Linked DNA regions of Oryza sativa Japonica Group. The protein of the gene in region 1 binds, or shares a complex with, the protein of each later gene. Links are inferred from orthologs where the notes say so. Each region holds a gene or a part of one and is shown in the gene's direction. Other genes may lie near its edges.

The links.
Region 2: large ribosomal subunit protein cL37 (region 1) and large ribosomal subunit protein uL10c share a complex: the UniProt entries of both Arabidopsis thaliana proteins name them as parts of the 50S ribosomal subunit. The link is inferred for Oryza sativa Japonica Group from reciprocal best matches to the Arabidopsis thaliana genes PSRP5 and EMB3136.
Region 3: large ribosomal subunit protein cL37 (region 1) and uncharacterized protein share a complex: the UniProt entries of both Arabidopsis thaliana proteins name them as parts of the 50S ribosomal subunit. The link is inferred for Oryza sativa Japonica Group from reciprocal best matches to the Arabidopsis thaliana genes PSRP5 and emb2184.
Region 4: large ribosomal subunit protein cL37 (region 1) and large ribosomal subunit protein bL27c share a complex: the UniProt entries of both Arabidopsis thaliana proteins name them as parts of the 50S ribosomal subunit. The link is inferred for Oryza sativa Japonica Group from reciprocal best matches to the Arabidopsis thaliana genes PSRP5 and RPL27.

Annotation. Positions count from the first base shown.
Region 1 is NC_089035.1:9,871,101-9,874,468, forward strand, and holds large ribosomal subunit protein cL37, read left to right. Parts: upstream 1-1,368; 5' UTR 1,369-1,414; coding exon 1,415-1,523; intron 1,524-2,223; coding exon 2,224-2,546; 3' UTR 2,547-2,696; downstream 2,697-3,368.
Region 2 is NC_089037.1:9,831,803-9,834,800, reverse strand, and holds large ribosomal subunit protein uL10c, read left to right. Parts: upstream 1-1,575; 5' UTR 1,576-1,636; coding exon 1,637-2,299; 3' UTR 2,300-2,422; downstream 2,423-2,998. UniProt on the Arabidopsis thaliana protein: This protein binds directly to 23S ribosomal RNA.
Region 3 is NC_089035.1:25,929,189-25,932,317, reverse strand, and holds uncharacterized protein, read left to right. Parts: upstream 1-1,461; 5' UTR 1,462-1,545; coding exon 1,546-1,635; intron 1,636-1,743; coding exon 1,744-2,061; 3' UTR 2,062-2,322; downstream 2,323-3,129. UniProt on the Arabidopsis thaliana protein: Binds the 23S rRNA.
Region 4 is NC_089035.1:41,095,131-41,099,182, forward strand, and holds large ribosomal subunit protein bL27c, read left to right. Parts: upstream 1-1,674; 5' UTR 1,675-1,757; coding exon 1,758-2,066; intron 2,067-2,864; coding exon 2,865-2,966; intron 2,967-3,051; coding exon 3,052-3,228; 3' UTR 3,229-3,520; downstream 3,521-4,052.

The DNA of each region.
Region 1 (3,368 bases):
CCACCATATACTCACCATGGTTGGTTAGCTTCCAAGTGGTCGTGTCTTCCTCGCCCTCTACGAGATGCACTTCTTGGACTGCATTCCAGACAGTGACGAGCTGACTGATTAGTTTGGTCATCCTAGTTGCAATCGCCGATAGGTTGATGTCGAGTAGCCATTGGCCAGATTTGGTGGCCTACTGTAGAGTTCTGTTTTTCTTCCAGAAAGTCGCTTAGACCAGAGGGGCCAACTTCCTTAAGCCTTCTCCCTTGCAACCAAGCAAAGTCCCAGAATTTCGCTTTTGTACCATCTCCAACTGTCGTCGTCGTTCCCACAAAGAGGAGTTTGCCAATGTTGTCGCAAGGCGTCTCCGACCCCACTCAAAGCTTTCTTAGATAAACAATGTAGCAATCAGTGGCGCTTGGCGAGCCCATGGTTCAATTTTTCGTTTTCAGTATTTGTATTGGGGTGCTGATATACCGAAATTTGGTCCAGAATTATTTGAATTTTCGAACAAAATTTGGTCAAATTTGAATAAATATTACTAAATTCACACAAAAGAATAAAAAAAACTTTGGTCGAACCGGAAATTTGAACCCTGCGAGCCAGCCTGCGAGACTTGTCGTAGATTCTGTAAATCTTCTCTGACACTGATACAACGATGGCTCGTGCATCATCCTCATCCTCCTCTCCGGCAGCATTGATGTCCATGTCGAAGCTACGCTCGGCTGGAGGATCTCTGCACGCTCCATAATCTTGATGGGTGTCCGCGAGCTGAAGGAGCAGAAGCTTCCATCCCCAATGGCGCACGAGAGCTGACGACCCGGATCAACCATTGGCAGCAGCTCCTGTACAGACACCTCCTCGTCCTCGATGCTGAAACTGCTCTACGCCGGCGACGGCGACGGCGACGGCGACGACGAGGAGGAGACATTCTTGATGCGGTACACGGCGGCGCCGGCGCGTGCTTCGGCTTGGAGTGGGAGACGAAGAGGTTGTCGCTAGCTGCTCTTCTCATCACCGATGGGCACCCGCTTGGCCGTCGAACGGGAGGTTCTTGTCGTCGGCGAGCTCCCCCACCTCTTGCTATCCACGTCGAACGCAGGATGTGGCGGCCGGCGGCGGCGTAGGACGCGACGGCGAGCGCGGCCGGGCGGAGGGGACGCCGCCGATGCGGATTGTCGCCGCCACCCGCGGCGGCGGCGGAGGCGGCGAGAGGAGAAAAAGAAAATCAAAATCAAAATTTCTCTCCACCTATGACATGTGGGCCAACTGCCAAGCAGCCTTACTTGACGGAGATTAAATCTGGCCGTTGATTCTCCATCGGACGGCGGAGCGCTCACAGCAGCACAGGCTTATCTCCTCCCTCCGGGCTGATGGGTGGATAGGCTGACGACGGGCCAAGAAGCCGAATCCCACACTGCCCGTGGCCATGGCGCTGCTCCTCTCCCCGACCGTCTCCTTCCTCGCCTCCTCCTCCGCCTCCCCGCCTCGCGCCAGAGCTCTCCCCGCCTCCGCCAATGTCGCCTCCACCATCCCCGGTAACCTCCGTGAACGCCTTCTCCGTACCGGGACTTTTGCGCATAAGTTACTCGGGTTGTGGGGTGTTGGTTCTTGGATTGGATTATGCTGAGTGGGTACGAGGCTATCCATTGTTGTGAGGTGTGATTTGTAATTCGGTGGGAGGATTGGTCTAGATATTTGACGTTGGTGATTCGTGGCGTTTCTGATTCTCTGGGATGCGGTTGGCTCGTTAGGGAATTTCTTCAAACACGTCGTGTGCAGATGCAGTAATTCGTGGGAGATTCCGTGCATTTATCATCTCTGTACAAAGCTAGGTATAATTCATCTCAGTGAACTCTGCAGATTCTCGAAGCTTTGGTTCTTTCGTGCTTAAATGATAATATCAGATGCTATGTAAGCACCGGTCACTGGCAAAGGGTGACATTCGTAGTACACCCTACATTTGGGGCCTGATTGTTAATAGATGAGTAGATTTTACATATCTGTGCTCTGCTAAGATTCATCATAATATGTAATTGAGAACACTAGGATTGTTACTAGTTATTGTACTATATACTATCCATGAAGTGGCACACATGAGCTAGACTTATTAGCTTTCAAGTTTCTTATATGACGGAGATTCTATCAAAATTTTGAAAGTAGCATGCATGTACTCTGAATTCTATATCTAAAATGATGCACATTGAGGCTTGCCATTTGTCCTTTCTGATGCTACAGCCCCAAGGCTCCAGTGCAAGAATCTCTCCTCGCAGAGCCCTCTGAATGCTTCTTTCACCAAGAAGAGGCTAGTTTCTGTCCATGCCTCGGCAGAGGCTGGCGCAGAAGAAGCTGGCACAGATCAACCAGAGGAGCCAAAACCCACGGTTTCGATTGAGACAATGCCGCTCGAAACTAAGCAGAAGATGATCATGGAGCAGAGGGCGAAGATGAAGCTGGCCAAGAAGCTGAGGCAGCGGCGCAGGAGGCTTGTCCAGAAGAGGCGGCTGAGGAAGAAAGGTAGATGGCCACCATCCAAGATGAAGAAGCTCAAGAACGTCTAACCAGCAGTGATGTCGGTCGCTGTTCTTCTGTACACCTCTATGTTCTGTTCATCCGTCTCTGTATTTCCTAAGCTGATGCCCAGCGAATTTTGCTGTTCAAAATATGAAACACAATGTTTGCAAAATGTGATTATTTCTTTCCCGATGAAATTTCATCTTGTATTTTTTAGATAATGGATAAACCGGTCACCGTTAAAAACACACAAAGCCCAGTACTGAACAAATTTTCTTCTAACATGTCCCTCCTTTTTCTCCTTTAGGCTTTAGCTGTCCTACAGAAGTACCACTAAATCTAATGTGTGTTCCCATAGTGGAAATATCATATGCACCTTGATGCCTTCTGTGTTTGTCAAAAACTCAAAATCATAGCAAATTTCAAGAAGCCTTGCTGTGCTGCACTCTATATTTGTGAGGTATTTGCCTGTATATACACTTCCATGATGTGTTTTGTTAGGGCCTCTCACAACTCTTTCGTCTGACCTGATGTTGATTAAAGCACAAAGGATCAACCTGGACAAGGAAATAACTGGAGCAAATTCGGGTTTGTTTGTTGTTTGCCACTTTGTCAGGCACGATGTGAACAATCTGAAGAGTGCCATTTTCGATTTTTTTTCTGATGCCCTTCCTGTTGATGTGGTTGTAAAATTTATCTGAAATTTAGCCTTCTTGAGCCATCTTTGTGACTTGATGGTGTACCGTCACAAGTTCTTGAAATGTTAACCACGATGTTTTTTGTGGAAACAAAATTTGTAATCTCTCTATCGTAGGAACTGAACATGGCCGTAGCTGACTATGTTTTTGACCTTTTTCAGCATCAGTCTG
Region 2 (2,998 bases), on another chromosome or scaffold:
ATGCATTTTGTGCCACACCATTGTTTTGTCTAGCAATTCTGGAGCAATTGTTAGCCGGAGTTCCATCTCTGATTCATTCCACTTGTTTAAGTTGGGACATCAGAAAATATGCTGATGCGCTATAGTATTTTTTTTTTCCTGGCTGAGAGATAGGCCGGACATTATATATGTAGAATCGTCAGGGTTTCAGGGCAGCAGAGCTGCAGCAGAGCTAAAAGTGAATTTCACCCTGTACCAGACGTTCTTGTTTCCCTGCATCTTATTTCTTGGATTTCAGTACTACCAATGACATTATTATATGAACTATACACTTCCATTATCAAAACCATCATTTCATGTTAGGGATGGCTTGAAGTGCACACGAGTTATGGAGAGAATGGTAAGCATCGGATGTTTGGTTTTCTGTGAAATTGCGTTGAGCATGCTGAGTCCGGAACAACTCCGTGTTTACAGCATCAGAGCAGCTGCTGTTGCTTGATCGTCGCAGTTTATATCCTTTCCACCTGACATCCTTGCAATGTTTATATCCATTTTGATCGTCGTACAAGAGATTCGCATGGTTTTCTTACCTGTAAAAAAAAGTTTGAATTATATATATATATATATATATATATATATATATATATATATATATATATATATATATATATATATATATATATATATATATATATATATATATAGTGATGCATCTACAAATCGGGCGCTCGATTTTTTACAAAAATCAGGCATTGTTTCACTAAATAGATCGAAAATGTTTCAATATTTTTAAAAAAGCTGAAACACAACCAAATCACATCGTGAAATATTTTGTTACAACATATGAAACAACAGTTTCCAAAAAAAAATCAGGCATTGTTTCATCCTATATAAAAACAATATTTCAGCAAATAGCAAAGGATGTTTCAAATCATTGCAACATTTGATCATACATAGTGAAACATCACGAGTACACTTGCTAAAACATTGTTGGTGGAAAAAAAAATGAAACGGATTCCTTTAATAAAGTATTTCCTTAATGTGCGGGTGATTTGTTATAACGACGCGTGTGGTGGGGCACGTGGGGGGGGGGACAACGCATAAGGGGTGGGAGCGTGCGGGAGGCGGCGAGCGCCCGATTTTTCTACCGCTGATCGGGCGCCTAATCGCTGTCATTTTCTTATATAGTGATATCTATTGTGTTGAATAATTCAGTACACTGATGTATGTTATGTTTTATTGTACATATCAAGAGTTTTTGAACTCAAGAAAACAATAGTGATGTATGCTGTGTTGAACAAGGCAGTGAAGATTGGAGTTGTTGGTACACGACTTCACTCACTATGGTTTAAATTGACGTCTATGAATACCACACATACGCGTTTGCTCTATGCCTCTATTTTTTTTTATTTGGAACTCTTAATCTTATTTTCAACCGCTCATGGATCAAGATCGAACGGCTATAAATCCTCAAGCAAAGGTCAATCTCCACGGAAGCTTCTTTCTGTGCAGCTGACCGAGCTGAGTTCACCATCTTCTCAGGCACTGACGATACGGTCCCACATAATCCAGTGAGCCCCCCGCCTCATCTTCCCCACAGATAAGCTCTCCCACTCCACTCTTTCTCCCAACCCGCCATAGCTCCCGGCCTCCGAAGATGGAGACCTCCTCCTTCCTCCGCACCACCCTCCCCACCGCGAAGCCCCTCCCGGCGTTCCAGACCCTCGCACCCCGCCCCCGCCCCCGCCCGCTCCGCCGCTCCACCATCAGCGCGGCCATCACCCGAGGCCGCAAGGAGGACACGGTGGCCGCCGTCCGCGAGCAGCTGGAGGGCTGCTACCTCCTCGCCGGGATCCGCTACGAGGGCCTCACGGTGAAGCAGCTGCAGGGCATCCGCGACACCCTCCCGGAGACCTGCCGGCTGCTGGTGGCGAAGAACACGCTGGTGGGGAAGGCCATCGAGGGCACGCCGTGGGAGGCGCTCAAGCCGTGCATGAAGGGGATGAACGCGTGGCTGTTCGTCCACACCGAGGAGGTCCCCGCCGCGCTCAAGCCCTACCGCGCCTTCCAGAAGGAGGAGCGCCTCGAGGAGACCAACGACTTCGTCGGCGCGGTGTTCGAGGGCAAGTTCTACGCCCCCGGGGACTTCAAGGCGCTCGAGACAATGCCCAGCCGCGCCGAGGTGTACGCCAAGCTGCTCGGCTCGCTGCAGGGGCCCGCGACCTCCGTCGTCACCACGCTGCAGGCGCCGGCCAGGGACGTCGTCTCCGTGCTCTCGGCGTACGTGCGCAAGCTCGAGCAGGAGGTCGGCGCCGCCTGATGGCTGTTGAGAGATGGTTTTGTGGCTTCGTTTCTCTCATCTCACTCATTTCTTGTAGAATTCCTGTACTTTTACTGCCTCACGTTTGAATTGAATCACAAAAGTTTTACCTCTTACAACGCATGCCTACTGGTCTGATTTCATAAGATTACCGAGTTCTGATGTTATTAGGATTACGTTGCGTACTTAGAGGGAATGCTTGTTCCACAACTAGTGTTTTGATAATTTAATTTTACCTGTAGAGACTACAGAGATCAAAGTTTAGTAGGTTGAGGGGCAATGGCAATGCACAATTAGAATGGTCAATAACTACTAGTGCTTGTGTAGTTGTACCATCAATCAGTGTATCCAGGTTTACAACAAAGTTGTTCAAAGCAGTATGATGAGATGTTTTAAAATCATGAACTTAACTGTGCTCTTTTTGTTAAGAGCAAACCTCCTTGAAGTGAACAAAATTAAATGATTAATTCATCTTTTAGTAACAGAATAACACTAATTAGAGTTGGAAATTCTTCTGAATTAGCTTCTGAAACTTACTGTTGGTCACCAGCTCACCACATACCTAATTTGTATCATTTCTGTCTGAACGCGCAGTGGATCAAGAATAGAATTGGCAAAATTGATGATCACATGGTCACTTATTTGTTTGATACTGATTTCTTCTGACAGTCATGGTATTGTCCTAGGTTATTGTACTTG
Region 3 (3,129 bases), about 16 Mb from region 1:
GGTCTCCGTCCCCAACCTTGCCTCCATGGCTCCACCATAGTGTCGTCGGCCACAGCTTATGGGGGCATTATCAGCAAGGAAGACAATGGGGGAGAAGAAGAGGTGGCGGGTCTCCATCCCAATATAACTGTAGATTCATTGGCCGCGGCACGTGGGGCTCCACCGGCAAGGAAGATGACGGTTCTAGACGCCGCTCCCCTCCAGTGCGGGGATTAGGCTTAGCGCTCCCCTCCATCTTTCACCGGCGGCGTGGGGTCTGTGACCGCCACTCCCCTCCAACGCATGGGTTGGGCTCGGCGCTTCCCTCCACCTTCCACCAGCGATGCAGGGTTCATGACCGTCACTCCCCTCCAGCTCCACCTCCCTTCATTGGGTATTAAGCTTGCAATCGTCACCGGATTGGCAACGCCCTCATCGAAGAAGCTCTCTCCGTGCAGTCGTCGACGAGCCTGAGAACCGCCAGATTTTCGCCTGAGTTGAAGAAGAAACTGATCTGCGTTGTGCGGTGTTGAGCTAACAGAGGTATTGACAGTTGTTGTAACGGAGTGGCATAGCTCAAATTTTGCAAAATTTCAGTGGCATGAACCTGATATCGTGAATAGTAATGGCAAATTGGTAAACTTGCAATAACATGATCCAATTAACCCATATCTTTGGGGAGGCTAATGCGCACGTACGTGCTAGCAATTTAGCTGGCGCCCGCGTCAGTTGGCCCCCTCCCCTGTTCCCGCGTGCTTTTCTTTCTCACTTTTTTTTTACGATTTTGGCGCCTGGATCCGGGTGCGTTTTTCTTTTTTTTCGCCATTTCTTTCTATTTTTTTAATCTTTCGCACACCCCTTTACAAATGTAGAGTTGAAAGTTTTAAATTTTGACTTCAAAGTTTTTAAATTTGACTTGAAAGTTTTCAAATCTGAGTTGAAAGTTTTAAATTTGAGTTGAATTTTTTCAATTTGAGATGAAAAGTTGAAAGTTTTCAAAATTTGACTTTAAAAAAAATTCAAATTTCGAGTTGAAAGTTTTCAAATATGGGTTGAAAGTTTTCAGAATTTGACTTGATGTATAAATTTCTTTTCAATCTGTTACTTTAAAAAATTTTCGGAAAAAACAAATCTTATCTTGATTATCTAAAACTAATGTATTTTTTTACACGCTAAAACTAATGGACTAGTTACTACATGCGCTATGGAAAGAATCTAACCGCGCCCGTGCGGTGCCGTGCATACGCGTGGGCCAGAAGTGCGCGCCCGCGGCGCGTATGCGAGAATTAGGAATTCTGCATATTTTTACCACGTAAACGAAATAATTGCATACATTTTTTTTTCTGGGCCAGTAAGTAACCAACGTGTATCAGCCCAAACCAAACAACAATTAAGAAAGCCCAGCCAAAGCGAGGCAGGCGAGCGGCCACCCGCACGGCACCAAAGCCTCAAAAATTGAGAATCATCAACGCTTGAGAGGATAACACACACCAGAAACCGATAAGGGACACGAAACAGGGGAATCCGGAGCAAAGTGCGACGCGAGCGCGCGAGGAAGCAGCAGCCATGGCGCTCTCCCTCTCCACCTCCTTCCTCCCGACCCAAGCCGCCGCGGCGGCCACGAGGACCACCCTCCGCTCCCTCGTCCCCTCCCAGGTACGATTCCTTCGATGCCCCCACAACCGCGTAGGCGTAGCGCCGCCGAATCGGAGATTCGGAGGAGGTGATTGGAACTGGGCGGTGGTGTGACGATTTGCCGTGCAGAGGATGCGGTGCTCGATGCGGAAGAAGGGGCTGCACCCGGAGATCTACGAGGACGCGAAGGTGTACTGCAACGGGGAGCTGGTGCTGGTGACGGGGGGAACCAAGCCGGAGTACACGGTGGACGTGTGGTCGGGGAACCACCCCTACTACGTCGGCGACACGTCGGCGATGGTCGTCATGGACAGCCAGATCGAGAAGTTCCGCAAGAAGTGGGGCCACATCAAGGAGTACTGGCCCGAGGACCAGTGGAGGGAGATGCACCCCGACGGCGACCCGGAGTTCGACCCGGAGGAGGAGGGATCCGCCGGCGCCAGCTGAGCCCCCGCTTCGCCTCTCGCCTCCGCCGCCGGCCTCGCCGGTGCGGTTTCTCTTGGTTGATTTTGGGAATTGCGTAAAATGGATTAGCTCCTCTTGCTTGCGCCTCTCGTTACACGTGCATTCGCATTGCTCTCTAGGTGTTCGATCGGTGTTCTCAGTGGATACGTGTGATCATATTTGTGGTATCGAACTGTTTGTTCTCTGCCTGTACTCTTTGACATCGATATAAAATGGAGATATTGCAATTTGCACACTCTGTAATTGGACATTTCCAACTCGTTGAATCGATGCATGCTAGTGTTGGTCTGGGCTCTCGAATAGAATCGTTGCATACATCAGTTTGTCCGGTCTTCAGAATAAGCAGTAAGGGGCTGTTAGTTCACGTACTAACATTGCTAAGGTTTACCATGTTTTCTCGCTAAAGTTGAGGCCATCAAAATCCAAGCCACGCTCTAGCCAATAAAGGCTATGTTTAGTTCCCAAAAACTTTTCGCAAAAACATCACATCGAATCTTTGGACACATATACGAAGCATTAAATATAGATAAAAAAAATTAATTACACAGTTTACATGTAAATCGCGAGACGAATCTTTTGAGTCTAATTAGTCTATGATTAGCCATAAGTGCTACGGTAACCCACATGTGCTAATGACGGCTTGATTAGGCTCAAAAGATTCGTCTCGTGGTTTCCAGTAACCCACATGTGCTAATGATGGCTTAATTAGGCTCAAAAGATTCGTCTCGTGGTTTCTAGGCGAGTTATGAAATTAGTTTTTTTTTATTCGTGTCCGAAAACCCCTTCTAACATCTGGTCAAACGTCCGATGTGACACCCAAAAATTTTCATTTCACCAACTAAACAGGCCCAAAATAAAAGCATGCCACACTTTTTAGAGTCACTTACATGTGAAATCTAGATTATAAAAGAGGAATCTTGCCACATTTGTGGAACCCAAATAAACACTCACCTAACATGATTAAACTTGTCTAACCTCAAGTGTGGCAACTTATGGTCATCATCCAAACAGCCCCTAAGTGCCTTAAACATGTACTCTATACTTGTACAA
Region 4 (4,052 bases), about 31 Mb from region 1:
CAGATTAACCATGAAGGATTATATATTCGATGAAGTTACAGTCAATTTTAAGCTACTACCTCCATCCCAAAATATAACAACTTTTAGCTATGAATCTGAACATACAATTGTCCAGATTCATAGACATGAATGCTTATATTTTGGGACGAAGGGAGTACTATCTATAAGTTCGCTTTTGAAAATACTCCCTCCGTTTTTTAATCGTTGACTTTTAAATACATGTTTACCATTCGTCTTATTAAAAAAATTATGAAAATATATAAGATATAAATCATGTTTAAAGTACTTTGAGTGATAAAACAACTTACAACAAAATAAATTATAATTAAGTAATTCTTTTTAAATAATACGAATGGTTAAATGTGTGAGAAAAAGTCAACGGCGTCATATATTAAAAAATGAAGATAGTATACAATTTATTCCTATAATTAAGTAGATAATCTGTGGTAATAATCTAAATCAAAATTTGGGGGGGGGGGCTAATCATGAATTGAAGATGAACAGTGGAAAACGGATGGTGGGGTTAAGGAGGGCTAGCTATAATTGGATCCACAGATCCACACTCCATAGCGAGGCACACTTTGTCAAGGATGAATCATGCATGGGCATGGCCGGTGGGGGTGGTGTGTCCATACAACAACAACAAGGAATCAATCCCCAGCCAGCCTACTTTGCCTTTGCAGTCAAGCCCGCCATCATTCTTGCTCACAATTGGGGCTCTTCGATTCACTTCATCCACACACTCAATTCAGATTTCATCCACACCTCCTCCTCCTCTTCTTCTAGCTTCCATCTCATATGCTTTCTGGAATTCTGGTGGCCCTAACTCCACTCCTCTCCTCCCTCTCGCAAAGTGACTTCAATCTCCAGGAAATATTGTTGATTTGTTGTTTTCGCCACAAGAATCACAACTTATGCTCTCTCTCTCTCTCTCTCTCTCTCTCTCTCTCTCTCTCTCTCTCTCTCTCTCTCTCTCTCTCTCTCTTTGAAATTCATGATTCATTTTTGGTCTTTTCTGTTACCTTCTGCTAATATATTTCTCTATTTTTTTTCTCCATGTTACCTTCTGCTAATATATTTCTCTTTTTTTTCTCCGTAATGTTTAATTCAATACTATAATTCCATCTAATTTGGGAAGCGAAAGTGATGTGGTGGTGGAGTTGTGGGTATATGATTTTATCCTCCAGGGTTCAAATCCTAGCGCCCACGAATATTACGCATATGCAAGTGGACTTTCAACAAGATTTTAGTGAGATTAATTAGTAATGTTCCGCTAGTTTCTCTCTCTTAGAGCGCATGTTAAGGGACACATTCGCAGGGCTATGAGTGTGGTGTTGCTTGTGTAATAGTGTGTGCGTGGGTGCGTCTGCAATGTAACTGAAAAAAAAAAGTAATTCCATCTAATTTTGTCCAGCAAAAAGAAAAAGAAGAGATGTATGGGCCGGCCCTTTTCCTCGCGTTTCCACGAAGCCCACAACATCGGGCCCACAAAGGCTTTGCGGTAGGCCGGCACGTGATTCCCACCCACGTGCTGGGCCGGCGCGTCATTCCCTCCCGCTTACGTGTGCTGGGCCAAAGTACGTGGGCCGGAAAGGGATTCCCAACCGCGTGATGGGCCGTAAATGGGTGATCCCGACCCAAAAAAAAAGAGCCCACGTCTTCCTCTCCACTCCCACGTTATCACCTCGCCGCTGTGCTCCCACACTCTATCTTCTCTTTCTCTTCTCCTCGCGACTCCGCCGCTGCTCGAGAGCGCAATGGCGTCCATGGCGTTCACACTGGTGGGAGCATTCAAGGGGATGTCCCTCTCCTCCCCGTGCCATTCCTCCTCCTCCGCCTCCTTCCTCCGCGCTGACCGTGTCTCGCTCTCCGTCGGCGGCGGGGTCGGGATGGGGGTGCCGATGACGATGCCGGTGCGGCGGCTGACGATCCAGATGGCGCACAAGAAGGGGGCCGGGAGCACCAAGAACGGGAGGGACTCCCCCGGGCAGCGCCTCGGTGTCAAGATTTACGGCGACCAGGTCGCCAAGCCCGGCGCCATCATCATCCGCCAGCGCGGCACCAGGGTCATCACCATCCTCTTCCTTTACTTACTGGTTCTTGGATGTTTCATGTGTTCGACTTTTCTCCTCAAATTTTGACTGATAGTATAGCTTCGTCCAGCTCTGAACAATTTGTGAATTTAGGTGAGGTTGTTGTGTTAACTAACATCTGCACAATTCAGAGTTCAGGAATGGTGTGAATATTCTTTAACAAAAAGGCATGACAATGATCGTGTTCCAAAGTTGGTCCTAGAGAAAGTCTGTTATTCTATGCAACGCCACCCGTTTGCTAAGACGTGGCCGCATGTGGTACATTCTTACCAATATCGTGGGATGTGGCCAAGAATTACACACTCTTCAGACTTCAGGGGAACTAGATGTTTCAGGCACTCTAATGCAATGCAGAGAGAAAAGGAGGAAGTACACTTTGATATTAGGACGTGCTGTTTCTGCACTAAAGACTCAACTGATAGTTACTTTCTTCACATCCATGAACTAACATAGCACAAGAATGTGCTACATAAATGTGTGTATCCTGTAAAAACAGTTGCATGTGCTGCTAAACTACTTCCTCTTATGTATTGTATCGTATTGCAAGGCATGCATGCATCCTTTCGATGTACTTTCCAAGTTCTGGCATTTGTCCCGCTGTTTCAGTAATGCATATGCAACTTCTTTGAAGTTTATCCCTGAACCACCACACACACCCTCTGCAATAGTCTATGTTTCTACATGTTATGAGCAGTTGCGTTTCATACAGTAATTTCACATTTTACGGACATATTCTTGCTTTTTCTTATACATTTTCATTGGTCATTTTAGGTCTATCCTGGAAATAATGTTGGAATGGGCAAGGATCACACCCTCTTTTCTTTGATCGATGGCCTCGTAAAGTTCGAGAAATATGGACCAGACAAGAAAAAGGTGAAAGTCTGCATCCTAGCTATAACTTGTCAGCATCTACTTATAATTGTATCTAAGTGGTTTTCTGTTGCCTTTTCTTTTACAGGTAAGTGTTTACCCATACGAGAAACAACCTGAGAACCCAAACAGTTACAGAGCAAGAAAGAGAGAGTACTTCCGCATGCAGCGTGAACGCAAAAAGGCAAGAGCAGAGGGAATTGTTGAGGTGCAATTGGTGTTGGCAGCTGCAGATGAAAGTCCTGAGGTCAATGCAGACTGCTGATAAGTTCTCTGCCCCGTTTTTCTCCATTTTCGCAATCCATGTTTGATAACAATGTTTGGAATGTAAATCATCAACTATGAGATGAATACAAGGCCCATCTTCAACTCCTTGTTTAGCCATGTTCGGCTTGCTGTATCTTTTCTGGCAGCTAGGCTTTAGGAACTAGGGCGGGTCTATTCCAACTGAATCATCAACAGTGAGATGAATACAAGGCCCATGTTCAACTCATTGGTTAGTCCTGTTCGACTTGTTGTATGCATGTACCTTTCCTGGCAGCTAGGCTTTAGGGACTAGGATGGGTCTATTCCAGTATTCCGGTACCACAAGTTCCACGTAATTGTGTTATGGGTGTTGTGGTGGGCTGATCTGATGCTTGAAAGTAGTGGTATTCATGTGGAATTGCAATTTGCAATGGATCAACATCATCACTGGGGGTATGATATATGGTTCAGGCCGTATTTGAAACTACTTTACAAGAGGTTCTTGCAAAAGTAGTTTCTTTTGGCATGTAGGGCTGTAGTGGGGTTTCAGCCTCTTAATTGATTTGGTTGCCGCAAGACTGCAATGAGACATCTGCATTTCCTTGATTCCTTCTTGAGGGACCTACTATCTCTACTCTCTACAACGTAAAGTATGTGAGTTGGTGATTGGGATGGTAAGTTCTACGCCTGCATCCTTCCTCCAATTTTCGCTCACAACTTTGACATACATCTCAAAGGAACATCTTTTACCAGGAAAAATAGGATGCATTTAGGTTCACTATTATGAAAATCAATTTCATCGCTGTCATGGGCAGTTGGGCACTGCTAGTATTGTAGAAACAG